Linked DNA regions of Sus scrofa. The protein of the gene in region 2 binds, or shares a complex with, the protein of the main gene of each other region. Links are inferred from orthologs where the notes say so. Each region holds a gene or a part of one and is shown on either strand. Other genes may lie near its edges. The genes, in order: INTS4, INTS7, SEM1, INTS9, INTS2, INTS6 and INTS12.

Region 1 (3,500 bases), about 120 Mb from region 2:
ATACATGCTGTTACACATTCCCCAGGACATATTAAAGTGGCCTGAAAAAAAAAAGGTAAACACTTTTGGAAGCATATTATGTTAATGTATTTTTCTGGGTAGTTGGAACATTGTGTTATTTAAGAAGTATGTAAGTGACAGAGACTGGCCCCAAATGTAGAATCAATATTAATTAGAATTTTTTTCCCCCGACATAAAAGAGGTCTTGAGGTAAGGAGTCTGGCGCTGGTATAGCAGCTCTACATTATTGTTGGTAATCCAGGCCCCTTCTGTTTTTCTCTCCTGCCATTTTCAGTTGTCCAGAATTGTTGCTAGAACTCCAGTCATCAGGTCTGGGTTCTAATCAGGAAGTCAGAGGATATTTGGAATAAAATCAGTATTCTATTAGTGAAGACAAGGGAACAGTGGATATTAGGTAGGCAAATAGCAGGCTTTGCCATAGGGATACATGCAAAGATTGGAAGGTATGTCTTTTAATTTCTGATTTTCCCTCTGTTATAAAATTAATATACATAGAAACAATTTTAAAATAGAAAGAAGAAATTTCATATTTAGTACCCAGAATCATACTATTCACAATAATTGACAGTCAAGTTTCTTTTGTCCTGCCCTCGTCATACAGAAGTTCCTTGCCCAGGGATCGAACCCCAGGCACAATAGTGACAAACCATGTTCTTCACTGCTTGGCCACCAGGGAACTCCTACAGTTAATATTTTGACATGTTTCCTTCTCCCTTTTTAAAAGCTTGGGTTTGGAATTTGTGGGTTTCTTTTCCTTTTTCTTTTGTCTTTTTTCCTTTTCTAGGGCCGCTTCCCTGGTATATGGAAGTTCCCAGGCTAGGGGTCTAATCAGAGCTGTTGCTGTTGGCCTACACCACAGCCACAGCAACGCTGGATCCTTAACCCACTGAGCAAGGCCAGGGATTGAACTCACAACTTCATAGTTCCTAGTTGGATTCATTAACCACTGTGCCATGATGAGTAACTCCTCTTTTCCTTTTTCATCTGTATCTGTGGCATATGAAGTCCCAGGCCAGGAACTGAATCTCAGCTATACCTGTGACCTCTGCCACAGATAGCAATGCTGGGTTGTTAACCCACTCTACGCCACAGTGGGAACTCTTGTTATTTTTTTAATTAAAAATTTTTTTTCTTTTTATGGCCTTACCTGTGGCATATGGAAGTTCCCAGGCTAGCGTTCAAATTGGAGCTGCAGCTGCTGGCCTATACCACAGCCACAGCAATGCCAGATCTGAGCCGAGTCAGCAACCTACACTGCAGCTCATGGCAGTGCTGAATCCTTAAACCATTGAGCAAGGCCAGGGATGGAACCCGAATCCTCATGGATACTAGTTTGGTTCTTAACCCTCTGTGCCACAATGGAGCTCCTTTTTATTTTTTTTAACATTTCATTTTATTAGGCAAATATTTGATGATAGATAGCTGCTGTCATATTCTCTACATATAGAGCCTGCTTTTTTCACTATGACAAAATGCTTATGATATAATATTAAAGGTCTTTAATAGGAGCTCCCCTGTGGCTCAGTGGGTTAAGGATCCAGCATTGTCATGGCAGCAGCTGGGGTCACTTCTGTGGCATGGAATTGATCCCTGGCCCAGAAACTTCCACATGTTATTGGTGTGACCAAAAAAAGAGTCTTTTATAAATACAATTTTTAATGGTTATGTAATACTCCATTAAGTAGATGAAACAGAAGTTGTGTAGTCATTCTCCTGGTTTTGGACATTTAGGTTGTTTGTGATTATTTGCTATCACAAATGATTCTGTGGTTTGATTTTGAGATGTGGAATTATTATACATTCCCAAGACTCTTCCTGTCTGGTATCAAACTATTATTCAGAGGGATTGTGCCAGTATGTACTTAAGTTGGCAATATATCAAAAGTTTCTATTTGATTATTTATATTCTCAGCAGCAGGCATTATTTTAAAAAACCTTTTTGAGGTCCTGTTGTGGCTTAGTAAGTTAAGGACCTGACATTGTCTCTGGAGGATGTAGGTTCGATCCCTGGCGTAGCTCAGTGGGTTAAGGATCCGACTGGGATCTGATGTTGCCATGGCTGCAGCATCGGCCTTAGCTGCAGCTCAGATTTGACCCCTAGTCCAGGAACTTCCACGTACCGCAGGTGTGGCCGTTAAAAAACAACAACCGCAGACCTTTTTTTTTGATAATTGGATGAGTAATTGGAGTAATTTGGAGCGGGGTAATGTATTTCTTGAATTTGTGTTTCTTTATTAGAAACGGTAGTTATTTAATGGGAATTGAGAGGTCGGGAAGTAGAGGCACCAAATTCTGTCCAGGCTCAACCTTTTATGTCTCCAGGTTTACTTAACCCACTTATCCATCAGACATTGCAGTTTTGGTTCTTATTTTCAATGCTGCTAAAACATGTCCAACAATGCCAGCATTGTTCTCCGATCATACCTTCAGGCACTATGCTTACCTCCGAGACAGTCTTTCTCATCTTGTTCCTGCCTTGAGGGTATGTTGAAAACATCTTTTGTCTTTTTTGTTTTGTTTTGTTCTATTTTGTTTTGATTTTTAGTCCTTTGTGGTTGTTAAATAGTAGAAAGCAAGCTGTATAGTCTCTGAAAACATATTTATTCATTCTTGGGCTCTCCTATTGTTTTGCACTTTTGCTTCTCTGTATCCTTTACCTTTTTTTTCCCCCTTTTTTTAGGGCCACACGTGCAGCATATGGAAGTTCCCAGGCTAGGGGTTGAATCAGAGCTTCAGCTGCTGGCGTACACCACAGCCACAGCAAGGCCAGATCTGGAGCCTCATCTTCGACCTACAGCACAGCTCAATGCAACGCAGGATTCTTAACCCACTGAGCGGGACCAGGGATCGAACCTGAATCCACATGATTTGTTACCACTGAGCCACAACTGGAACTCCTTCCTTACCTTTTAAGGCAATTCATTTTTAATATCCTGGGTTATTAATTATGTTGGATTAGGCAAAAAGAAGGAATCTGGAACAATATATTTCAAATCAAAGATCAAATCATGTTATATTACGTGAAGCTATGATTCTCAAATTTATTTTTTAATAATAATATTTATTTATTTATTTAGGCCCTGCCCACAGCATTCAGAAGTTCCTGGTCCAGGGCCTGAACCCAAGCCACAGCAGTGACAATGCTGCATTCTTAACTGCTAGGCCATCAGGGAACTCCAAAATTTATTTTATATTGCTTTTTTAGGGCCAAACCTACAGCATATGGAGTTCCCAGGCTTGGGGTCAAATCAGAGCTGCAGTTGCTGGCCACAGCCACGTGGGATCTGAAGTCTGTCTGCTACCTACACCACCTACTTATGCCAACACCAGATCCTTAACCCACTGAGCAAGGTCAGGGATCTAACCTTAAGGATACTGGTTGGATTCGTTTCCGCTGCACCACAATGGGAACTCCCAAAATTTTTATTATTTTTAAAGCTTAGAGATACAGAAAGAAAAAAATTTGTAGTGAATTATAA
Region 2 (3,500 bases):
CGCGGCTCGGATCCCGCGTTGCTGTGGCTCTGGCGTAGGCCGGTGGCTGCAGCTCCGATTGGACCCTTAGCCTGGGAACCTCCATATGAAGTGGGGGCGGCCCAAGAAATAGCAACAACAACAACAACAACAACAAAAGACAAAAAAAATTAAAAAAAAAAAGACTATGCCAGATCCTTTAACCCACTAAGTGAGGCCAGGGATTGGTTCATGAGTGAACCCGAATCCTCACGGATACTAGTCAGGCTTTTAACCCACTGAGCCACAATGGAAACTCCAAAGGCAATCTATTTTTGAGAAGCTAATTTAGGTCCCTAACGAGCTGACTTTATACTAATCAAAAAGGAGATTATTCTGGGTAGATCTCGCTTCATCAGTTGAGTTCTTTAAAAGAGGGCCTTGAAGGTAAGAGATTCCCCTGCTGGCCTTAAAGTTTCCTCAGGTCTTACAGCTGTGAGGAACTGAATCCTGCCAACAACTGCATGAGTTCAAAAGAGGACTCTTGAGTCCAGGCTTCACACAAAACTGGCTCTGAACAACACCTTGACAGTAACTTCGTGACAACATGAGCAGAGGCCCCAGCGAAGTCACACCTGGGCCCTTGGAAACCGTAAAATAGTAAATGGGTGTTGTTTTAAGCCACTAAATTTATAGTAATTTTTTACATAGCCCAGAAAGCTAATATGAACGCTTTTTATAATTTATATTCCTAAGAAGCAAGATAACACCAGCATTAATCACTGTATGGGGAAATTCAGACACCCAACACTGCTATAGAGTCCCTCTAAGCATGGAATCTTTAACTTCTGTTTGGCTTGGCTGAAGTAGGTAAAAATACAGTCCTCACAGCTGAGTCTCGGGTCAGCTCATTCAGGTGTCAAGGAGTGAGAGGGTGAGTCATGCTCACACCATCTCGATTAAAAAGGGGAAAGTCACCATCAGGTCCTCACTTGTCAGAGAGATTTTTTAAAAATCTTGCGGAAATCCCGAGAGTGCGGTATACTCAGAACTGAGAGAGGTTCCAAACAACAGTAAGGATCAGACTGCCTCCCCCCCCGGATTCTTCTCAAGCACATCGTCATCTCTGGACCTCTTTTTTGACTCCTCAAAGCAGGGTTTGGCACATAGCCAGTGCTCACAGTCTGCTGAATAAAGCAACTCCGTTTTAAGAGGTGATCTGAGGCCCAAGAACCTGCCTTAGGTCACATGGCGCGAACGGCTGAACGGAGACGGACACAAGGGCCTTCTGACAGCCCACTGCGGTCCTCCTACATCAGAATCCAGCCCTTACCTACTGCCAAGCCTCCTTAAATACTGAGAGCACACAAACCATTAAATGACCATTAAATGTGCAATGGAGTTTTTCTTAATATTAATTGCATCTGCCTCACTGTTCTGTGAATCTCTCTCTCAGTTCTTACCACTTACTGCACCACTTACTGTTAAACCATTAACAATTTTTTGTTCCACATAAATTAGAAAATAGAATAATTCTACTGATTGGCGCCAACAACTATTCTTTGACTTTCTGAGCTATTTATTAGCTTGAAATAGGCAACAACAAACTCTTACGAGTTTTGATAATCATGACGAGAGAATCATGTAGTTAAAGTTACCCCTTAAAACGGTGAGGAGCCATTCCTACATTCCTGTTTTTTGTTTTGTCTTTTTCCTTTTTAGGGCTGCACCTATGGCACATGGAGGTTCCCAATTCCCAGGCCAGGGGTCGAATCGGAGCTCCAGCTGCTGGTCTACGGCACAGCCACAGCAACTCGGGATCTGAGCTGCATCTGTGACCTACACCACAGCGCATGGCAACACCGGATCCTTAACCCACTGAGCAAGGCCAGGGATCAAACCTGCGTCCGGATGGATACTAGTCGGGTTTGTAACCCACTGAGCCACACTGGGAATGCCCTATATTTCTGTTCCAAAACAGCCATCAATCAATCCCAGCTCCCTCCAAAATCATTCTTCAAAAGATGTGTATCCACAGCCATCTGAACAGTCTGTCTCTTCGGTGACGTCTGTTTATTCTCTGTTCTACTCTGAAGCGTTTCTTTCTGGATACATTACATTTATCTAATGTAAAAAGACAGTTTACATTATGTGATAAGTGAAAAAGGTAGATACACAGGTACCCAAAGTTTTACGGCCCTATCTAAATATATACAATTTTTAAGGTTGTGTGACAATGCTTTAAACGTGTTCAATGGTGATTAAACTCTTTACTCTTAAGGGGAAAAAGTCCTCACATTAACAGAGAAAAGGCTCATTTTAGGGAACAGGCTCTTATTTAGGATTATAACTAGTTTCAAGAAAATGTTAAGGATCTGATCTCTTTTTCTTGGTAGAAAAAAATGGAAAATACAGCTGGTTGTTCATTTGGAGTAGAGGGTATCACCAAGGGGTAAAAAGTGATCACTTGCTTTTTATTTACAAAGCAAGAAGCTCTAGTTTCTTAGTGAGTAGCCGCCAGTGATGGGAAGGGCTGGGTCTGGCGGCAGCAGCGACCCAGGCTGCGGTCTTCCCAACAGCAGTCTGGAAAGGGAGCATCCTACCTCCGCTAATTCTTTCTGCCTGGACTGTGCAATTCCCCTCCACGTGTCTATCGGACACTTGATAAAAAACCAAATGATAAATGTGCATCAACCCATGAACGTTAAAAAGTCGGGCAGGGGTTCATGACCTACCGTCACGTCCTACGTCTTATTTTAATACTTCCAAATACATACATATTAGCAGGGTTTTCAAGGTGAAAACGGGACAGCCCCCGGAAGCAAAGGGACACCATCCTCACACAAGCCATCACCGCCCAAGGAAAATGAGGAAGACTCACTGTTAAGGAAGCAATCCCTTTGTGGTAGAATTTCAGGGACTCAGCAATGCAAGAAAGTGCTGAACTAGCGTCGTCCTCCTGCAGGCCGGTGAGGCACTGCTCCGCGTGTGAGAACTCCTTCAGACTGTTGAGCCAGAAGTGGAGATGCTCCGAGGCGACCTGCGTCAGCAGGCTCTGGTACAGCTCTCCGGCCATGTCGTGACTACCCTGAAAGAAAGCCGGGAGGGCCCAGGATGAGGGTCTTACCCTTGAACCAGCTGCGGCAGCACCTCCAACAGAAGCCCAAACCTTGGATACGTTTTAGCGATCGTGCCTCCCGCTCTGTAACTCCGAGGGACTCGGTCTCCTATTTCTCCCGAGAAACCATGCCGAGCTGCTTTGCTGTAACACACGCCTGAAGTTCTTTAGCCACACAACAGCTCCGGAGAGAAGATAAACGCAATGAGCTACAACCCGAGGCGAGCCATGTAGTTCCAAACAGGCCCTTCCGCACGAGCTGTTCAGTGGTGTGGGGAGAACCCCAGCCACTTTTCCTCCAGTGGTGACCGGGGGAGGCGAGGGAGGGGGCTGAGTGCCCTGTGAGGCCGGGGCGATGGATGCCCAGGGTCCTGCTGCAGCTGGAGGCGTGGCACAGCTGAGGATGCGGGCGCAGCGGCGGCCT
Region 3 (2,109 bases), on a different chromosome or scaffold from region 2:
TGGGGATCCATTGATGGTTTTAAGTAGGGAGTGATGTGATCTAAGTAAGATTTTAAAAATATCACTCCAGCCATGGAGAATGGATTGAAGGAAGGGAAGGGTGAAAGGGAAATCGGAATTGACCCCAAAGGAACATTAATGTGCAAATGATTTATTCAGAAAATGTTTCTGGGGCAGCTGTTAGGAAGAAAGTAGGGGTTAAAAACATGCATGGGCACTATTTCATCACCATCTGGTGGAAGGAAGATGCTGTGCAGGGAGTTAGGAATTAAAAACCATTATAAAGTCTTCTGCCACTTTAGTCATTAAAATCCCTGATTTTTAGTTCCCCATCTATAAAATGGGGAAGTAAATCCTTACAGAACCATTGTGGAAATGAAATAAGGAAGTAAAAAGCTTTTATGAGAGCTAATATAATACAAATATTATATTTATAATATAAATAATGTTACTAATATTTTGTTGAAGATTTTTATGTCTATATTCATCAATGATACTGGTTTTTTTTTATTATATCAAACATTTATTTTTTGTGTTACAAAAACAAAAATAAGTCCAAGCAGGTAATGAAATAAACATTTTTTTAAGTGTCCCCCCTGGGTTCTCTGTTCCAGAATTTAGTAAACAGTTCAAATTTAGGTTGCTTCAACATTTCTTCTGGATGCTATGAGGTCTCCATCTTATAACCATGTTTCTCTAATTCAGCTCCTAACTGATTGGAGAAGTCATCCTCTACATTGTCATCATCCCAATTATCCTCCCAGACATGTGCATCTTCATCTTCATCTAAACCAGCCCAGTCTTCTGCAGGAAACTCCTCGAACTCGTCGTCCTCCTCCAGCAGACCCAAGTCTACCGGCTGTTTTTTCTCTGACATCGCGACCCTCAGTTCCCCAAACCTCTCAGGCCAGTGGAAAAGTTGGGATACTGGTTTTTAATTTTCTTTTTTGTTGTTTTTTTGGTCTGGTTTTGGTATTGGGGTGATGGTGGCCTCATAGAATGAGCTTGGGAGTATTCCTTCCTCTGCAAAGTTTCAGAAGGATAGGTGTTAACTCTTCTCTAAATGTTTGATAGAATTTACCTATGAAGCCATTTGGTCCTGGACTTTTGTTTTTTGGAAGTTTTAAAATCTTGGTTTCAATTTCAGAACCTGTGATTGGTCTATTCATATTTTCTATTTCTTCTGGTTCAGCTTTGGAAGGTTGTACCTTTCTAAGAATTTGTCCATTTCTTCTAGGTTGTCCATTTTATTGGCATGTAGTTGCTCGTAGTAGTCTCTTATGACCCTTTGTATTTATGTGTGGTCAGTTGTAATTTCTCCTTTTTAATTTCGAATTTTGTTGATTTGAGCCCTCTCCCTTTTTTTCTTGATGAGTCTGGCTAAAGGTTTATCAGTTTTGTTTATCTCTTCAAAGAACCAGCTTTTGTTTTATTGATCTTTTGTTTTCTTCATACTTATCTGATTTATTTCTGCTCTGAGCTTTTATGATTTCCTTCCTTCTACTAACTCTGGGTTTCATTTGTTTTTCTTTCTCTAGTTCCTTATTTGTAAGGTCATGTTATTTATTTGGGATTTTTCTTGTTTCCTGAAGTGAGATTGTATTGCTATAAACTTCCCTCTGAGAACTGCTTTTGCTGTGTCCTATAGGTTTTGGATCATTATGTCTTTGTTGTCATTTGTCCTATAGGTTTTGGATCATTATGTCTTTGTTGTCATTTGTCTGTAGGTATTTTTTATTTCCTCTTTGATTTCTTCAGTGAATCATTGCTTGTTTAGTAGCATATTTTTTAGTCTCTACTAGTTATTAGAGAAATTCAAATCAAAACTATAACGAAGTATCACCTCACACCAGCCAGAATGGCCATCGTCAAAATGTTTATCAATAATAAATGCTGGCGAGGGTAAGGAGAAAAAGGAACTCTCCTATGCTGTTGGTGGGAATGTAAGTGGTTGTAATCACTGTGGAGAACAATATTGATATGATCCAGCAATCCCATTCCTGGGCATCTATCCAGAGACAATCGTGAGTTGAAAAGATATATACACCCTAACATTCATTGCAGCCCTGTTTACAATAGCCAAGACATGGAAGCAACCTAAGTGTCCAT
Region 4 (3,991 bases), on a different chromosome or scaffold from region 2:
ATGGAACACACTTAAAGTCCCAGAGGCAAAAGAGAGCAGGCGGACTTCAAGGAACTGAAAGACATACAATACAAACGGAACAAGGAGGTCAAGAGAGGAGAGCTAGACATTAGCCTGGAGAAGTCAGCAGGGCCAGAATCTACAGGATCAAGCAAGTCAAGTCAAGAATTTTAAGGAGTTCCCTTGTGGCTCAGCAGGTTAAGGATCCAGCATTGACAATGCTGTGGCTTGGGTCTGATCCCTGGCCTAGGAACTTCTGTATGCCGCAAGTGCGGCCAAAAAACCCCTCCCAAACCAAAAATAAAAAATAAAAACCCCAAAACCACAAAACTCTAAAACAGAACAACAAAAAAATAATTTTAAGACTATCCTAAGGGCAAAGGAAGCTACCAAAGGGTTTTAAAGGAACACTGCAATTTAAAACAACTTCTGGGCATGGAGTAGGGAATGGATTTGAGGGTGGGAGACCAGTTAGAAGGTTTTGTTGAATTTCAAGTGTCAAGTGAAAAGAGCCCCTACAAAGGCTGTATTGGTGGTACTGGAGAGAAACAGACCAGTTTAAGAACTGCAGAATCACCAAGATATGGTCATAGATTGTACGTGGGAAGGGTGTTTGGGGAAGTCATAATCTCCAAAACAAGAATGTACTCTATAAAAAATATTTCTGTGTTTCATGATAGAAATACAAAACATGGTTTATCACATATTCAGGAAGCAGTACACAAAGTTAAAAATTTTTAGGCCCTAGGAAAATTTATTCCAACTCTATGGGAGGCATGATACAAAAAAGAAGCCTGCTTACTGAGTGTCAGTGTTCTTGAAACACTTTGCTGTGTCAATAGATATTCTCACAGAATCATCAACTACCTTATTCCTCTAAGGCATTTTATGATTCTTGAAAGAAAAATAGTTTCTCTTTCCCCCTTTTTTATCTTCTTTAAATGAGGTAAGCAGGAGGATTTCATAAGCAAACCAAAGCATATGTAAACTAAACCCTAACTCTCTGATACCCTCAGCAAATGAGCTATTATGGAAAAGAACTGTTTTCCATTTTCCTGCCTCTGCACCGAGCATACATACCAAATGTGATTTATCCTTTATCAAGAAAACATGGTCTTTATTTCAAGCACTCAGGTGCAAAGCTCTTTTGCTTCTAAAGCTGAACCCTCTTCAAGGAAAGCCCTAGCCTACTCACCTTGCTTAACTGTTAAAGAGTCTCCTTTCCATAGAGCTGTCTCCCACTCCCCCAACCCCCATCATCCTCTAAATCCCTAAACACTGAACATGCTTCCATTTACCATGAAAACAGTGAAATATCATTTATTACTTTTGTATCTTCTTCATTGCACACTTCTTTTGGATATGGGTGGTGACTTTCAATTTGGCATTTTTACATGTCTTGAAAACTGACCCAGAAGCAAATTGATATCCTCAAGGTTTACTGATCTGTGTCCTTCTCCTTACCTAAACAGCTTTAGTGTTGAATCTACTTCTATTTCTCTGACTCCTCAGAAAACAGCTGAAACTCTGAAGAGCACAGGCCCTTAGCGTGTGTGTGCAGGCACCAGCCTGGGCTGCACACTTTGGAAAAGCATGCTCAAACAATTAAGAAAATGCACATTTTATTTTTCTACTAAAATTACAGGAAAGTAAAGATTTACAACACTTGGCTGCAGGAATGCGAATTTTAAGAGGTTGAGAAACAGCATCTCACACCTGCTTTTCTACTAATACCATACAGTTGGAATAAACTAGTTAAAGTAGCTAAATCTGTGTGCACACAGAGTAACGTGGCTCAAAATAAAGGCCTGAGCAGCCTCCCTACAAGCCAAGTGTTTTGAGTTTTGTGATGCAGAGAATTTTCCAGGTATCCTGGCAGGCTCCATCTAATCTTGGCTCATACAGTCCCTACAGCCCTAGACTGAATGCCTTGACACTTAAACCATATTATACAGGGTTTAAAACTTAAATCTTCCACGATCATACCATACCATGATCTCGTCCTTCTCTGAATATCAAAGACAGTTAGGAGTCTATAACAGAAAACTTAAGTGATTACTCTGCCCAATATTTTCTAAACTCTGCTCATATGTAACCAAAGCCTTTTCAAAAACTGTAAGAAACGCTAATCAAACGCCAATCGCGTGGAAAGAAGTTAACCAATTATAAAACTCACATGGCAGCTGTGAAATCAGTCAAACCTAGTTCATAAAGCCCAACCTCAGTTCGTGTGTGAAGTAAGGTGACAGAGTCAATCTCTTATCTAACCACAGGAGCCGCCAAGGGATAAATAAGATCTGGGGGTCGGGGGTGGGAGGTGGGATTCAAACTCAACCACAAGGAGCAGCTTTCCTTGGTTCACCCCACTTTCTAAGTCTCTAACTGCCACCCCTCTTCCGCGACGGTTCCCACCACAAGTTGGAAACGACGAAGTCCAAAAGGATATGGCATCACCTTTGCCCTCTGACCTAGGAGCAGAGACTCACCAATTTCATATTGGACTTTAGGTTGTTCAATATCAGTCACTGGACTCCTCAGAACCAGAAAGCCTCTTCCGGTTCAATCTCCGCCACCCGCCAGCCTCGAGCATCGCGGGACATGCAGTCTTTCTTCCCTACGCCCCCTTCCGGATGCATCATGGGAAATGTAGTCCTGTCTTCTTGCATCATGGGAACTGTGGTCATCTTTCCTTTTTCTCTCTTTCCTCCTTCCTTCGGCTCAAATTCTTCCCCGCCGCCAAATCATTCTCCCTCTCCATCCCAGCATGATATCATGTCCCCTGTCTGGGCCCAGAGCCCACGGTATTCTGGGATGTGTAGTCCCTACGACTCTGGCGCCCCTTTCCCCTCCTCCCTGTGGGAAGGCGAATGGCGCAGGTCTTGCCGGGAGCTGTAGTCCCCCAGGGCCTCCGGGCGCCGAGTCCCGCGCTTTTACTCGAGGGAGTAAGAAACTACAACTCCCAGGGCCGCCCGGCGGCAGCAGGTGGGAGCGGGGCTGTTGATATCAATATGGCGGTTGTCAGCCAGACAAAGACAGTCAGTCTGATGTGATTGAGACAAGGGAGGTTTTCAGGGGGAGACTGGGAGATAGGGGCCTCCCCTCCCCCTTCTCCTCTTCCTGCGCCGGCCTCAACCCCTCCCCAGTCCCCTCCCGACGGGCGCCCCACGCGGAAGACACCCCTCCCCCTCCCGCTTTCCCCTCCTCCCTACCTCAGCCCTTCGTACTGGGACGTTGGGGAGGGGGCTGTGCCGGGCGGAGAGAACTCAGCAAGGATTCTGAGGTGAGTCGAGCGATTTGGAAGGCGGGCTCCCTCAAGTCTCTTTCTTCACTTCTTTCTCTTCACTTTTTTTCTTTTTTCTTTTTGGAGGGGTTTGGGAGAGAAAGTGAGTGGGCCGGGGGTGGGTCTCTTAGGCGGCCCGACTGAGAGGAGGGAGGAAGCGTGGGGCTTCCGAGGGGGGTGACCCGGACGCAGGGTCTGGGGTGGGGCAGTTTGTGGGGGGCGAAAATGGAAAGGCGTCGGCTGCTCCCTAACTCTTTCCTCCTGGTTACCTCCTTGGTGGGCGGAAGGTTTGAATCCTGGAGGTGGGGTCTCTTGTTTGGAGTTTGGGAAACTGTGAGGGGAATTTGAGGTGTGGGTTTGTTTGGGGTGCAGAACTGTATTTGAAACTGGGTGACGTGTACTTGGGTGATGTGTTAGCCTTGAATAAATGTCTCTAGAGAGGAAGTTCGGGAGACGGAGTCGGAGCTTTTAGCTGGGCCTGGGCGGAGAAGCGTGCGCGAGGTGCGGGTCCTGGACCTCTGGGCTGGCGCCGCGGCGCGGGGTGGCCGTGGGGAGCAAGTCGTTTGTGTCCCATCGCCCGCTCACACTCCTTCTCCCATCCTCCCAGGGACACATCCCAACCCCAAACTCAGGGTAGGAGCACTGTAGACGTGAGATGCTGTGTGGATGGCTTTTTGCATCCCGAAGTCGGTAGCTAGGTGGGAAAGGAAA
Region 5 (3,500 bases), on a different chromosome or scaffold from region 2:
CCGCAACCTCATGGTTCCTAGTTGGATTCGTTAACCACTGCGCCACGACGGGAACTCCCAATTCAACTATTTTTATTGAGTGCTCGCTATATGTCAGGCACAGTACGTCAGACCTTGCTGAGTAATAGATGACTGGATGTTATCCCTGTCTGAAGAGCTGTGGAGGTGATGGACTTGTAAACTCCTAAGTGCAGCAGTCCTGGGAGTTAAATGTTTTAATAAAATAGTCATTTCCTTGTCATTTAAGGAATTGGGGTTAATAGCAGAGATGTTGTATAAACCCAAGCTCTTGTGTCTCCAAAATGTAAGCACTTTGTACATATGACTCCACTAGTCATTATGTATTTGAAAACATCATTTATATGAGATTTAACATTTCAGATTGTCATTATTTAAGTGTATCCTGTACAGATAGGCCAAATTAGGGTGAGTAGAGTATTTGTCAAGTGAACCAGTGAATTTAGAGTTTGCTTGATTGATTAAAATGAGATTCTGTAGTTATGACAGACTCCTCAAATGGGTCAGTTTCAAGTGGAGAGCTTTGTCTGAGCTTCTTTTTGACTTCGTAAGTGTTCCATGCTTTCTCCCTTTTGTGGTCCTTATTTCTTGCAGAGAAAAGAGAGACCAGTAGTTCTGTCCTTTGGCAAATGAGGAGGCAGCTTCTTCTGGAGTTGATGGGCATTCTTCCCACAGTAAGAAGTACCCGCATTGTGGAAGAAGCTGATGTGGAGATGGAGCCCAATGTGTCTGTGTATTCGGGGCTGAAAGAAGAGCATGTTGTGAAAGCCAGTGCGCTCTTACGTCTGTACTGTGCTTTGATGGGGATCGCTGGACTAAAGTATTCAATAATTTGATATTTTACTTTTTTATCATTTTATTTTCTCGTTTCTAATCCCCAGAAAGTGAGCCATAGGCTTTTTATTCAGATGTAGGTTTTCTGTTTGGCTTACGTAGTGAGCTGGCCTATGTCAAGAATGAATTCCTGGAGTTCCCTTGTTGTGCAGTAGGTTAGGGATCCAGCATTGTCACTGCTGTGGCTCGGGTTGCTGATGTGGCCTGGGTTCGATCCCTGGCTCGGGAACTTCATCATGCTGCAGGTGCAGCCAAAAAGAAAAAAAAAAAAAAAAAAAAAAGAATGAATTCCCAAGGCAAAACATTCCCAGTTGGGATGTATCCATCTATTTCGGTCTGATTATAAATCGAATTATGTAAGGATGGGAGGGGCCAGAGCAGTGTAAGAAATGTATGACTGCACCACAGCTTGATGTGACTACAGTGAATAATCTGTGAGTGATCCTTTAACCTAGTGTAGGCAGCTAGTTGAAGTAAGCGTATCCTATTTCTTTTACAGCTGAGATCATAAATTATTTACAGATGATATGTGATTATTAAACACAAGATTTCTTAGTCACTGTATTACATCCTTTTGAGTGATATCCTCAACTGTTGTAAGTAGAGTCCTTGGTTTGCATGTTTCCAATACCATGGAAACACATTATTTACCACACTTTAGTTAAATAACACCGCTCCCTCGACAGCTCATGTATCAGTTACCGTGAAACCTTAACCAAATTATTGTCTCAAGAGCAAACTTTGCCGAGAGCTTTTCAAGCCCCACATCGCTGTATAAACAAAAGACGCACATGGTGATCAGTGACCAGTCACATCATTTCTTCTAAAATCTTTTGGTGACTGCTCACCATCCAACTATTACTATCAGTTCATGAGCAGACAACACAGTGGATAGTTGTATTGCCTCCTTGTCTCTCAATGAATAAACCCATGTGATAGTTGGCAAAACTAGAATTAAAAGAGGGAATTGGCCAATAAAAATGAAAGTGTAGCAAAGAAACAAAAAATGGGTTAACGCTGGAGTGACGTATGAACCAAAACGTAAATAGAAGAAATAGCTGACTGTGAGAATGGTCTGACTGCTTCCACTTGAGAGACCCTAAATGGGTGGCCAGATGAATTTAGTGAAGGCGAACTTGAGGATAGTCATTGTGACAGAAAGAATGAAGACCCAGGGACCAGTGGTGGCAACAATCTTCACTTTAAAGTAGCTCTCAGGTATTTCATGACTGAAATATCAGCACATATTTATAATATATAAGCATATATATATATATATATATATTTATTTATTTATTTATTTTTTTGGTCTTTTTGCCTTTTCCAGGGCTGCTCCTGCGGCATATGGAGGTTCCCAGGCTAGGGGTCTAATCAGAGCTGTAGCTGCCAGTCTACACCAGAGCCACAGCAACACCGGATACGAGCCACATCTACAACCTACACCACAGCTCACGGCAATGCCATGATCCTTAACCCACTGAGCAAGGCCAGGGATTGAACCCGCAACCTCATGGTTCCAGGTCAGATTCGTTAACCACTGTGCCACGATGGGAACTCCCTAAGCATATGTTTATGATATAATACAAAGCATAAGATGTTGGTAGCTGATCCAAGCTTAGAGGGGGGTTATGATAAGTCACCAAGGCTTAGAGAAGATGCTCATTCCATATTGTAAGTTATATGACGAGAAGGTGACAAGGGCCATTCAAACTACTCTTGATAAATCTTTCACAAAGAAAACATTGTAATTCCCACTGTTTCTAAAATATTCAATTATACAATGCTATATACACTAGTTTTACTATTTAAAAATATTTCCCTGTGCATTATAACCAACAGAGTTTTTAATGTCGACAAAAACTTAACATCTTACAATATTACAGATTTTATAAATTTTATAAAGCTCAAGATCTGTCTAAAAGGTTAAACTGTTGAAAAGTCCCTTCTTTTACTCAACTGAAAAAAGTAAAGCCTGGTAATGTGTTCCTTTTTTAGACCAACTGAGGAAGAAGCGGAGCAATTACTGCAGTTGATGACAAGCCGACCTCCTGCTACACCGGCTGGGGTTCGCTTTGTTTCACTTTCCTTTTGTATGCTACTGGCCTTTTCTACACTTGTCAGGTATCTAACTATATAATTGTTCTATTTTCTAAAGGTCTGCTTTTGTGTATTTATTAAAGCACAGCCTTAATAAGGAGCTCACTACAAAAATGGTGTAAGGGAGTTCCTGTTGTGGCTCAGCAGTAATGGACCCGACTAGTAACCGTGAGAACTCGGGTTTGATCCCTGGCCACACTCAGTGGGTTAAGAATCCGGCATTGCCATGGACTGTGGTGTAGATCACAGATGTGGCCTGGATCCTAACGTGGCTGTGGCTGTGGTGTGGGCTGGCAGCTGCAGCTCCGATTAGACCCCTAGCCTGGGAACTTCCATGTGCCATGGGAGTGGCCCTAAAAAGACCAATGAACAAACCCCCCAAACAAAACAAAAAACCCCCCAAATGGTGGAGGTTTAAGTTCTCTAGTGGTTCATCAGGTTAAAGACCTGGCATGGCCACTGCTGTGGCTCGGTTTGCTGCTGTGGATGGATTTGATCCTTGGCCTGAGAACTTTTGCATGCTGTGGGTGTGGCCCCCCCCAAAATAGTGT
Region 6 (3,500 bases), on a different chromosome or scaffold from region 2:
GAAGTGTATATACTAGAGAATCATTGTTGCAAAACTAAAAAAGGAAATAGGCTAATCTGTAAATGCTTTAAAAAGGTTTTTGGCTCTTACAAATTCTTAGGGTTATGAACAACCAGTTTAAAAAGGTGATGCTACTGAACGACTAACATATTATCTTGACTTCCCTATTTAATCTTCCCTCTTTACTGACAGTCATTCTGTTATCTTATAATTTGGCCTTGTCAACGTTAAAGCCAAATCCTAGTAATTTTTCCGTTCTAGTTGAATACTTGATAAAGTAAGTTTAAAATGTCTGTTTAAAAAAGTACAATACCTTCTACAGGGGAAGGATCTGGTCCTGCTTTTTCAAAGTTTATTACTACCCCACTTTGTACTTTCTGCACCAAGGACTCCAGACACTGATTAAGCATCCTTGGAGAACATACAGAGTATGAGCGGCCTGAAATAAAAAGAATAAAGAGAACTTGTTAGTTGCAGAAATTACTACTTTTAGCAAAGAAGAACCCCAGTAGGATTTTTGACAATACTGATTTACAAAAATTCAATGATAAAGTTGACTTTTTCATCATCTAATGGAAGAATAACAAAACAAAAATAGTTGTCATCAATCAATCATGTAAATTTTTTCTTCTAATTAAAGGTATAAAGAAAATAGAAATCTTGGTCTGAACAAACCACAATGAAAAAAAATCACTACATATAATATATTGTGTGAGATGTGATTTTAAAATATATAAATATAAAAAACTATCTCCAACTGTTTTCCAATACAATTTAACTTTATTGTACATACACAGCATCTGATAACCCCCAAAAAATTTTACTCCTGCTTAAAAGAAGTATTATCACTAAAGAGTAATACTAAGGACACAGCAGATACTCAATAATTATTAATTGATCTGCTAGCAGGCACTGCATATTTTAAGTACTTGCACTTTAATATACAGATAGTAGCATATGGTTTTCTGACTACCCATCTTAAGTGAATTTCCCTCTTGTATATTTTAACATATATATATATATATATTTTTTTTTTTTTTTTTTTTTTTTTTTTTGCTTTTTTTAGGGCCGTACTCGTGGCATATGGAGGTTCCCAGGCTAGGGGTCTAATCAGAGCTACAGCTGCCAGCCTATGCCACAGCCACAGCCACGCCAGATCCAAGCCGTGGCTGTAACCCACACCACAGCTCATGGCAACGGCGGATCCTTAACCCATTGAGCGAGGCCAGGGATCGAACCTACAACCTCATGTTTCCTAGTTGGATTTGTTTCCACTGCACCTCTATGGGAACTTCCTGGGAACCTCCATATGCCTCAGATGTGGCCCTAAGAAGAAAAAAAAGAAAAAGGAAAAAATATAAATGGGAGTTGCTGCTGTATCCCAGCAGTAACAAACCTGACTAGTGTCTATGAAGATGTGGGTTCGATCCCTGGCCTTGCTCAGTAGGTTAAGGATCTGGTGTTGCCATGAGTTGTGCTATAGGTAGCAGATGCGGCTTGGTTCCCACACAGCTGTGGCTGTGGCTGTGGCTGTGGCATAGGCTGGTAGCTGCAGCTCCAATTCAACCCCTAGCCTGAGAACTTCCATATGCTGCAGGTACAACCTTAAGAAAAAAAAGAAAAGGAAAGAAAAGGAAAAGACACAAGTGCAAAGATTTCTTAAACCAGATTTTCAATAAATATATCTAGACCTATGCTATCCCATACTGCAGCCACTGGCCACACATGGGTACTAAGAACTTGAATCGTAGCTAGTCCAAATTGAGATATACAGTTATACACTGGATTTTGTAGATGCAAGATGAAAATAATGTAAAATACCTCATTTTTAAATATCATTTTCATGTTGAAATATTTTGTACATACTGATTTAAATATTATTGAAAATGATTTTTACCTGTTCTTTTTTAGTGACTATATAATTTATAATTATATATGTAACATATCATATTTCTATTTGTGTGCTGCTCTAGACCAGTGCTGAAAAATAACACCAAAAATCTTTAATCAAACATAATGTTATCTGTAATAAATTCAAAATGGCAAAATCCTATCTTTAACAAATTCAACAAATTATTACCAAACACGGTATATTCAATTTACACTAAACATGTGATTTGCTAAAGACTACTCAGGAAAGAGAGTATTAGGCAGTAGTATGATTCAAATCCTCAGAGTAAGCTTTACTTAGAAAAACAAGTATCACATAACAGATGGCTTACCTGTACACAACGAGAGCCATAATTATAAAAATATCCACCAATTATTGAGTGTCTATGTACCTGGCACTATTCTAATCACATAATTAAGAGTCTCATGTTCTACCGACCAAGCTTGTGCGGCGGCGCAATAACATTATTGTATTATTTTATCCTACCAACAATTGTATGGGTTACTTTTTCCATTTTCCAAAGAGAAAACTAAAGCACAGAGAAATTAACTAAGGTATCCAAGTTAGTATTCAGTAGTACAGCCAAGATTCAAACCCTTACAAGGTATATGAAACTTTCATCTGGATATACCTAGTTCCCTGAAAATCATAATGCTAATTCAAAATCAGTATTTAAAATAGGAAGTCTATATGGAATCATACTTATATGAATGAATTGTCAAATTAAAATCTTTTTTTCTGAGTAAATTTAAACATACACATAAAACAACACATTAAAAGGCTGATTGTCTTAAATCACAGAGTATTTAGAAAATTTTATAAAGGTTCAGTATCTTATTTCATGATATTTAAGGATATTCCCAAGATGTCATTAAAAAAAAAAAGTTTTTAAGTATAAAATGTGGCAATCCTCTCTCTACTCCCCTAACTTGTATCATTAACTAATTGATTAGAAAAATACAAGTAAATAAGTTATGACCTTTGCATGAAATAAAATTATTAGCAAAGACATTTTATAAAAATTGGAGAAAAAGTATATAAACTTGAAACACTTAGAAAATAATAAAAACCCATCAGTTCTTTTCAAAGTTAAAGCAAATTTTTCTATCTTTGCAAAGTGAACCTATAACCTATGTTATGTTTCTCTTATTCTTTATGTCAAAACTCACCTCCTGGAAATGTATAGCACTTTGTATTGAAGGATAAAATTTCTGGGATCCCTAATTATATCTGTGAGAAAAGCACACACTTTTAAGTCAAGGAGCTGGCTCACTTGTGGTTACGTAGGGTCCACAAAAAAATCTAAATATGATGAGTCTGAAGGCAGTAAAGTGAAAGAAAACAAAACAAAAACAAAACAAAATCTACTTTCCCCCCAGAGTATACTAGATGATGATTTTAATAAAATGGGTAAGAGACAAAAGGAACATTTCTAAGTTAGACAACACTCCTTATAGAGGCTAAGTTAAATTTTTATTTAATTGAAAAAAGTCTTGTAATTCTTGTAAAATGCTTTTTATCCTCAGTACTTCCACCAACATGTCCATTAGGCATGTTTTTATAATTTGATATAATCCCTGAGCCCCTCCTCAACCTGCTTCTCCTCTGA
Region 7 (4,297 bases), on a different chromosome or scaffold from region 2:
CAATTGAATTTATAGCAAAGAATTTATTTTCATAATATTTAAATGGCCATGGTTAATGTTTATATTGTCACACCACTAGTCTTGCCAGCTTTTGCATTTTTCTCCTTTAAACACTGTTCCTAGATAAGCTTAGAAAAATGTAAACATACTCTACCTTTCTTAAATAATTTAGCACAAGATCTATTATTAAATGTTGGCAAGAACTTATGACAAGGAATGGGCTCCCGGCATTAAGAGATCATGACCTTAAGAGTATCGGCGGAGTTCCCATTGCCGCGCAGTGTAAATGAATCTGACTAGTATCCATAGGATATGGATTCAATCAGTGGGTCGCAGATCCCACCTTGCCCTGAGTGGTGGTGTAGGTCACAGACTTTGCTCGGATCCTGAGTTGTTGTGGATTAGGCTGGTGGCTATAGCTCAGATTCCACCCCTAGCCTAGGAACTTCCATATGCCTAGACTGTGGCCCTAAAAAGCAAAAAAAAAAAAAAAAAAAAAAAAAAAAGGGGGGGAATAAGGGGAAAAGGAGTTCCCGATGTGGCTCAGCAGTAACGAATCCGACTAGTGTGCATGAGGACACTAGTCTGATCCCTGGCCTCAGTGGGTTAAGGATCCCATTGCTAGGGCTGTGGTGTAGGTCGGCAGCTGTAGCTTCCATTGGACCCCTAGTCTGGGAATTACCATATGCCAAGGGTGTGTCCCTAAAAAGCCGAAACAAACAAACAGTCACCTAATCCCAAACCAAGTAGAATTGGTGTGGGAAGTACGTGTATTAGTAAACGTTTCTGAAGTAAAAGCAATTTTCATGCAAGTTAAACCCAAACTTTCTATAGGAGTTTAAACCAAAGTGAAACGCTACTTTGATGGTAGTGCAGAAACAAATCGCCCAAAATGTAGGGGGTTCTTTGGAGCAACTGTTAGGTAGTATTCACATACTACTGCTTTCTCCAATGAGGAAGGGCTGGAATAGAAAACTCAGTAGAAAAAAAGATAAAAGTTAAAAGAGTGACCCAAGAGGTCTTAACTACACTTAGCAGCAAATGGCGAACGACCGAACAGACTGCTGCAACTGGAAGCTGCTCCTTTCCCCTTCAGTAAATGAAGCCATGGGGACTGGCCCTGGAAAAATTGCGAAGGGGCCCGGACCCCTCCACTCTTCCCGCCCTTCTTCGCATCGTCAACCCTGCCGGTCCCTGGATGAAAGAGGAGTCTTTGCAGGGTCTTGAGGACTGAGGAGCCGGCGGCGCGAGCGCCCTCCTTACCTGGTCGCAGAGGCGCGGCCAGGCAGGGAGGGTGCGTGAACGTGTCAACACTGGCCGCCAGCGCATTCCCGCCCCGCCCGAGCCGGGTTTCCCGAGGTCGCTTTAGGAAGTCTTCGCCTGCAGACCGCTCGCAGCTCCACGCGGCAGGGAAAAAAACAACAGAAGCAGCGCCGGGGAAACAGCAGCACCTGCCGTCATTCATAATCCGGCGCACCGGAAGAAGGTGGTTACGTCACTTCCTCCCGTCGCACAGTGAAAACGTTCCCCAGTCGACCCTGCTGCGGGAACTTTTGTTTTTCCGCTCTCCCGGCGGGCTAGTGCTGGGACCTGTTCGTCAGGCCACCGGGAACGGACGGAGCAGCGGGGCGGAGCGGTGAGTTGCGACGAGCCCCTCGGTTCCCAGCCGCCTCTGGGAGGCTTGAGACCTCCGCGAGGGGTGAAGTGGGACGGTAGTACTGTGCGGTCTTAGTTTCCTCGCCTCTTGTGAGGAAACTCATAATTTGCAGGCGGTCGAATGCCCAGTCTGACCATTCTCCCCTTACAGTTGGGGTCGTGCTTCCCCCGAAGGTTTTGCAGGCTGGGGTCAGCGGACCGAGGTTACAGCCCCAGGGATTGGGACCTTGGAACCCTGTCTCGGACCTTCCTCGGAAGGTTTTGGCGACTTCTCTGTGCAGCTCCCTCTGCCTCCTCTCATCTTCATTGGGCTCACTTGTCAAGACCCTTCCCGATGTTAGGCCTTCGGTGGGTCTTGCCTTTGATCAGAAGATTGATATTCCTTTTCTGAGTGTCGTTTTTCAGATTTTCTGTCGGTTGGTTGGTTTGGAATTAGGTTCTTTCCGCCTGTTGTCGTTTCCGGATGTGTGCCTAAGGTCATCAGTGTAATCCAGGGCCAAGATCCAGGAGGAATAAAAAGGGCAGTATCTTTAAAAGGGTATTTATTAGGATGAGTTGCATGAGTTTGCAAAGGGCAAAGCTTTCTAGAGCCGTTATTGAGGTGGCAACCCCAATATTGCACTCTGCCTGAATAGGTTCAGCTTCCTTCATCTCGTGCACGTGAAACTCCAACTTTGGACTTCTTTTAATGTTAGCTTGTAAGATAGATAATGGGATCTAGAGGAAAGCATATATTTATATATGAATACCCAATTTAGGTTGGAGAAATCACAGAAGCCCTAGAAAGTGACATTTAAAAAAACCCTAGTGCATTCACTCAACAAATATTTTTGAGAATATGTTAAATTCCAAGCACTAGGTATGTAACAGTTCTGAATAAAAGAATTCCCTTCTTGCATGGAGTTTACAGTCTAGTGGGGTTAATGAATTTAAATCACATGGAGGATTGGGTAGAGAGTAATGCAGATAGGAACATTGTACAAATCCCATGTCATGAAAAAGGTGTTTTCTGCTTTGTATTGTTTTTGCTTTTTTGATATTTGAGGGCTTGAGGTGGGATTGGGGGTGGGAGGAGTCTGGAGGGTGGTAATAGCTTTGAGTTTCTTTTTTGTTGCTTATTGCAGAGGGACTTTGGAAATGATTAGAATTGTGTAGAAGGAAAAAAACTATTATCCTTTGATCTCTAATAATTCTTTGGCCATTATTTTTTGGTACTTTACAAAATACAAACGTGATGGTAAAAAGATAGCCTTTCCCCTTAAAGTAGTCAGAGATTTATAGAGAATATAACAAATGTGCAAAAAAAAGAAAACAGAAAAAAAAAGACTGTGGTTCAAGGTAGAAAGTTCCAGTACCTTGAGAATGCACTCCAAGATTTCCCAGGGGAGGGCAAGATTATTATTATTATTATTTATTTATTTATTTATTTATTTATTTTTGTCTTTTGTCCTTTTAGGTCCGCACCAGCAGCTTATGGAGGTTCCCAGACTAGGGGTCCAGTCGGAGCTGTAGCTGCAGGCCTCCACCACAGCCACAGCAACGCCAGATCCAAGCTGCGTCTGCGACCTATACCACAGCTCACAGCAACGCATGATCCTTAACCCACTGAGCGAGGTCAGGGATTGAACCCGCAACCTCATGGTTCCAGTTCAAATTCGTTTCCACTGCGCCACGACGGGAATTCAGCAAGATTATTAGTATTATTGGGTGAGTAGGGTCCTCATCAGTACCCTCATGGGTCTTGATAGGATATGGAAATATGAAAATGGGTAAAAAAGCTCTCCAGACAGAAAAAAAATTGAGAAGTAGCAAGTCCAGCTAATGATTCTGGTCTATGGGAGATCTGGAGATGAAGAATTAGTTTTTGTGCCAGTTATTGAGTCTTTTTTTTGGGGGGGTGCACACCTGAGGCATATGGAGGATCCCAGGCTTGGGGTCGAATCGAAGTTACAGCTGCCACATTATGCCACAGCCATAGCCACACAGGATCCAAACTGAGTCTGCAACCTACACCACAGCTCACAGCAACACCGGATCCTTAACCTGCTGAGCGAGGCCAGGGATCAATCCTACAACCTCATGGTTACTAGTCAGATTAGTTTCCACTGAGCCAGAATGGGATCTCCTACTGAATCTTTTTAAATGCTAGGCCAAGAAGTTAGGCTTTATTTTAAAGGGAATGGGAAGTCTTAATTTTTGAGGAAGAAAGGAAGCAGGGAGGGAGGAAGAAGAAGGAAGGGAGGGAGGAAGGGAGATAGGGAGATGTGTTAACAGGAACATTAATATGGCAACAGTATTGAAGTCCAAGACAATCACTAGATTATTGCTACAGTGCAAAAAGCTGATAAAGACCTGAATCTGAGTAGTAGCAGTGGAAATGGAAAATAGCAACAAATGTGAGAAATGTTGAAATATAGGAATTGGGGAGGACTCAGGCAAAAATGTAGGCCTCAGGCCTGATTAACGGAGAGTATGTCATTTATTGAAAGAAAGTGCGGAACAAGGAACTTTGGGGTAGGAGATATTCATAATCTCAATTTCAGTCTTTATTGAATTTGAGAAACCATTGGGACAATTAGGTAGACATGTCTACTAAGCAATTAGAAATATGGGGTTTGAGCTTAAGAGAGATCTGAGTGGG

The links.
Region 1: the proteins of INTS7 (region 2) and INTS4 are in contact, whole or in part, in a cryo-EM structure (PDB 8RC4), measured with the Homo sapiens proteins. The link is inferred for Sus scrofa from reciprocal best matches to the Homo sapiens genes INTS7 and INTS4. Residues at the interface, in NP_056249.1 of Homo sapiens: Lys137, Asn138, His140, His141, Arg144, Gln145, Gly175, His205, His206, Asp207, Ala208, Ser244, Ser245, Leu246, Val247, Lys282, Thr283, Pro284, His285, Thr286, Thr321, Ile322, Lys325, His326, Gly686, Tyr689, Glu704, Gln707, Gln708, Leu711; in NP_291025.3 of Homo sapiens: Glu536, Met539, Asp540, Arg571, His572, Ala574, Tyr575, Asp578, Ser579, Ser610, Phe613, Arg620, Leu624, Leu627, Gly631, Glu634, Leu635, Phe638, Arg641, Asp642, Arg645, Leu646, Glu648, Leu649, Gln650, Lys677, Leu678, Trp679, Asn680, Val681.
Region 3: the proteins of INTS7 (region 2) and SEM1 are in contact, whole or in part, in a cryo-EM structure (PDB 8YJB), measured with the Homo sapiens proteins. The link is inferred for Sus scrofa from reciprocal best matches to the Homo sapiens genes INTS7 and SEM1. Residues at the interface, in NP_056249.1 of Homo sapiens: Lys410, Leu413, Asn414, Val417, Leu448, His451, Cys452, Ala454, Ala455, Met458, Glu488, Val491, Thr495, Leu517, Glu518, Ser521, Asn522, Gly523, Trp524, Val526, Tyr527, Arg528, Arg531, Gln532, Arg535, Ser548, Leu549, Thr551, Gln552, Val553; in NP_006295.1 of Homo sapiens: Ala36, His37, Val38, Trp39, Glu40, Asp41, Asn42, Trp43, Asp44, Val48, Glu49, Asp50, Phe52, Ser53, Gln55, Leu56, Arg57, Glu59, Leu60, Glu61, His63, Gly64, Tyr65, Lys66, Met67.
Region 4: INTS7 (region 2) and INTS9 share a complex: the UniProt entries of both Homo sapiens proteins name them as parts of the integrator complex. The link is inferred for Sus scrofa from reciprocal best matches to the Homo sapiens genes INTS7 and INTS9.
Region 5: the proteins of INTS7 (region 2) and INTS2 are in contact, whole or in part, in a cryo-EM structure (PDB 8RC4), measured with the Homo sapiens proteins. The link is inferred for Sus scrofa from reciprocal best matches to the Homo sapiens genes INTS7 and INTS2. Residues at the interface, in NP_056249.1 of Homo sapiens: Leu38, Gly39, Glu40, Cys42, Glu43, Val46, Arg47, Asn77, Phe78, Leu81, Cys82, Leu84, Lys85, Gln88, Gln89, Asn114, Asp115, Pro116, Val117, Ala120, Ile121, Arg124, Val153, Glu156, Val159, Phe160, Ala163, Leu195, Lys196, Pro199; in NP_065799.2 of Homo sapiens: Gln27, Lys28, Val29, Cys48, Arg51, Met52, Cys55, Ala56, Ala58, Asp59, Gln60, Ser61, Trp64, Phe92, His93, Ala186, Glu187, Pro189, Ile194, Val218, Asp220, Ser221, Asn223, Glu224, Ser259, Leu262, Lys263, Arg265, His285, Gly294.
Region 6: INTS7 (region 2) and INTS6 share a complex: the UniProt entries of both Homo sapiens proteins name them as parts of the integrator complex. The link is inferred for Sus scrofa from reciprocal best matches to the Homo sapiens genes INTS7 and INTS6.
Region 7: INTS7 (region 2) and INTS12 share a complex: the UniProt entries of both Homo sapiens proteins name them as parts of the integrator complex. The link is inferred for Sus scrofa from reciprocal best matches to the Homo sapiens genes INTS7 and INTS12.

Annotation. Positions count from the first base shown.
Region 1 is NC_010451.4:12,355,771-12,359,270, reverse strand, and holds part of INTS4 (integrator complex subunit 4), read left to right. Parts: intron 1-2,369; coding exon 2,370-2,503; intron 2,504-3,500. UniProt on the Homo sapiens protein: Component of the integrator complex, a multiprotein complex that terminates RNA polymerase II (Pol II) transcription in the promoter-proximal region of genes.
Region 2 is NC_010451.4:131,331,030-131,334,529, reverse strand, and holds part of INTS7 (integrator complex subunit 7), read right to left. Parts: intron 3,047-3,500; coding exon 2,840-3,046; intron 1-2,839. UniProt on the Homo sapiens protein: Component of the integrator complex, a multiprotein complex that terminates RNA polymerase II (Pol II) transcription in the promoter-proximal region of genes.
Region 3 is NC_010455.5:144,627,769-144,629,877, reverse strand, and holds SEM1 (26S proteasome complex subunit SEM1), read right to left. Parts: upstream 930-2,109; 5' UTR 878-929; coding exon 665-877; 3' UTR 501-664; downstream 1-500. UniProt on the Homo sapiens protein: Component of the 26S proteasome, a multiprotein complex involved in the ATP-dependent degradation of ubiquitinated proteins.
Region 4 is NC_010456.5:12,689,641-12,693,631, forward strand, and holds the start of INTS9 (integrator complex subunit 9), read right to left. Parts: upstream 2,801-3,991; 5' UTR 2,496-2,800; coding exon 2,487-2,495; intron 55-2,486; exon of another isoform or gene 1-54. UniProt on the Homo sapiens protein: Component of the integrator complex, a multiprotein complex that terminates RNA polymerase II (Pol II) transcription in the promoter-proximal region of genes.
Region 5 is NC_010454.4:36,447,893-36,451,392, forward strand, and holds part of INTS2 (integrator complex subunit 2), read left to right. Parts: intron 1-614; coding exon 615-838; intron 839-2,847; coding exon 2,848-2,973; intron 2,974-3,500. UniProt on the Homo sapiens protein: Component of the integrator complex, a multiprotein complex that terminates RNA polymerase II (Pol II) transcription in the promoter-proximal region of genes.
Region 6 is NC_010453.5:16,441,276-16,444,775, reverse strand, and holds part of INTS6 (integrator complex subunit 6), read right to left. Parts: intron 440-3,500; coding exon 314-439; intron 1-313. UniProt on the Homo sapiens protein: Component of the integrator complex, a multiprotein complex that terminates RNA polymerase II (Pol II) transcription in the promoter-proximal region of genes.
Region 7 is NC_010450.4:116,030,367-116,034,663, forward strand, and holds the start of INTS12 (integrator complex subunit 12), read left to right. Parts: upstream 1-1,497; 5' UTR 1,498-1,636; intron 1,637-4,297. Other genes in the region: GSTCD (glutathione S-transferase C-terminal domain-containing protein), read right to left, coding at 1,264-1,465. UniProt on the Homo sapiens protein: Component of the integrator complex, a multiprotein complex that terminates RNA polymerase II (Pol II) transcription in the promoter-proximal region of genes.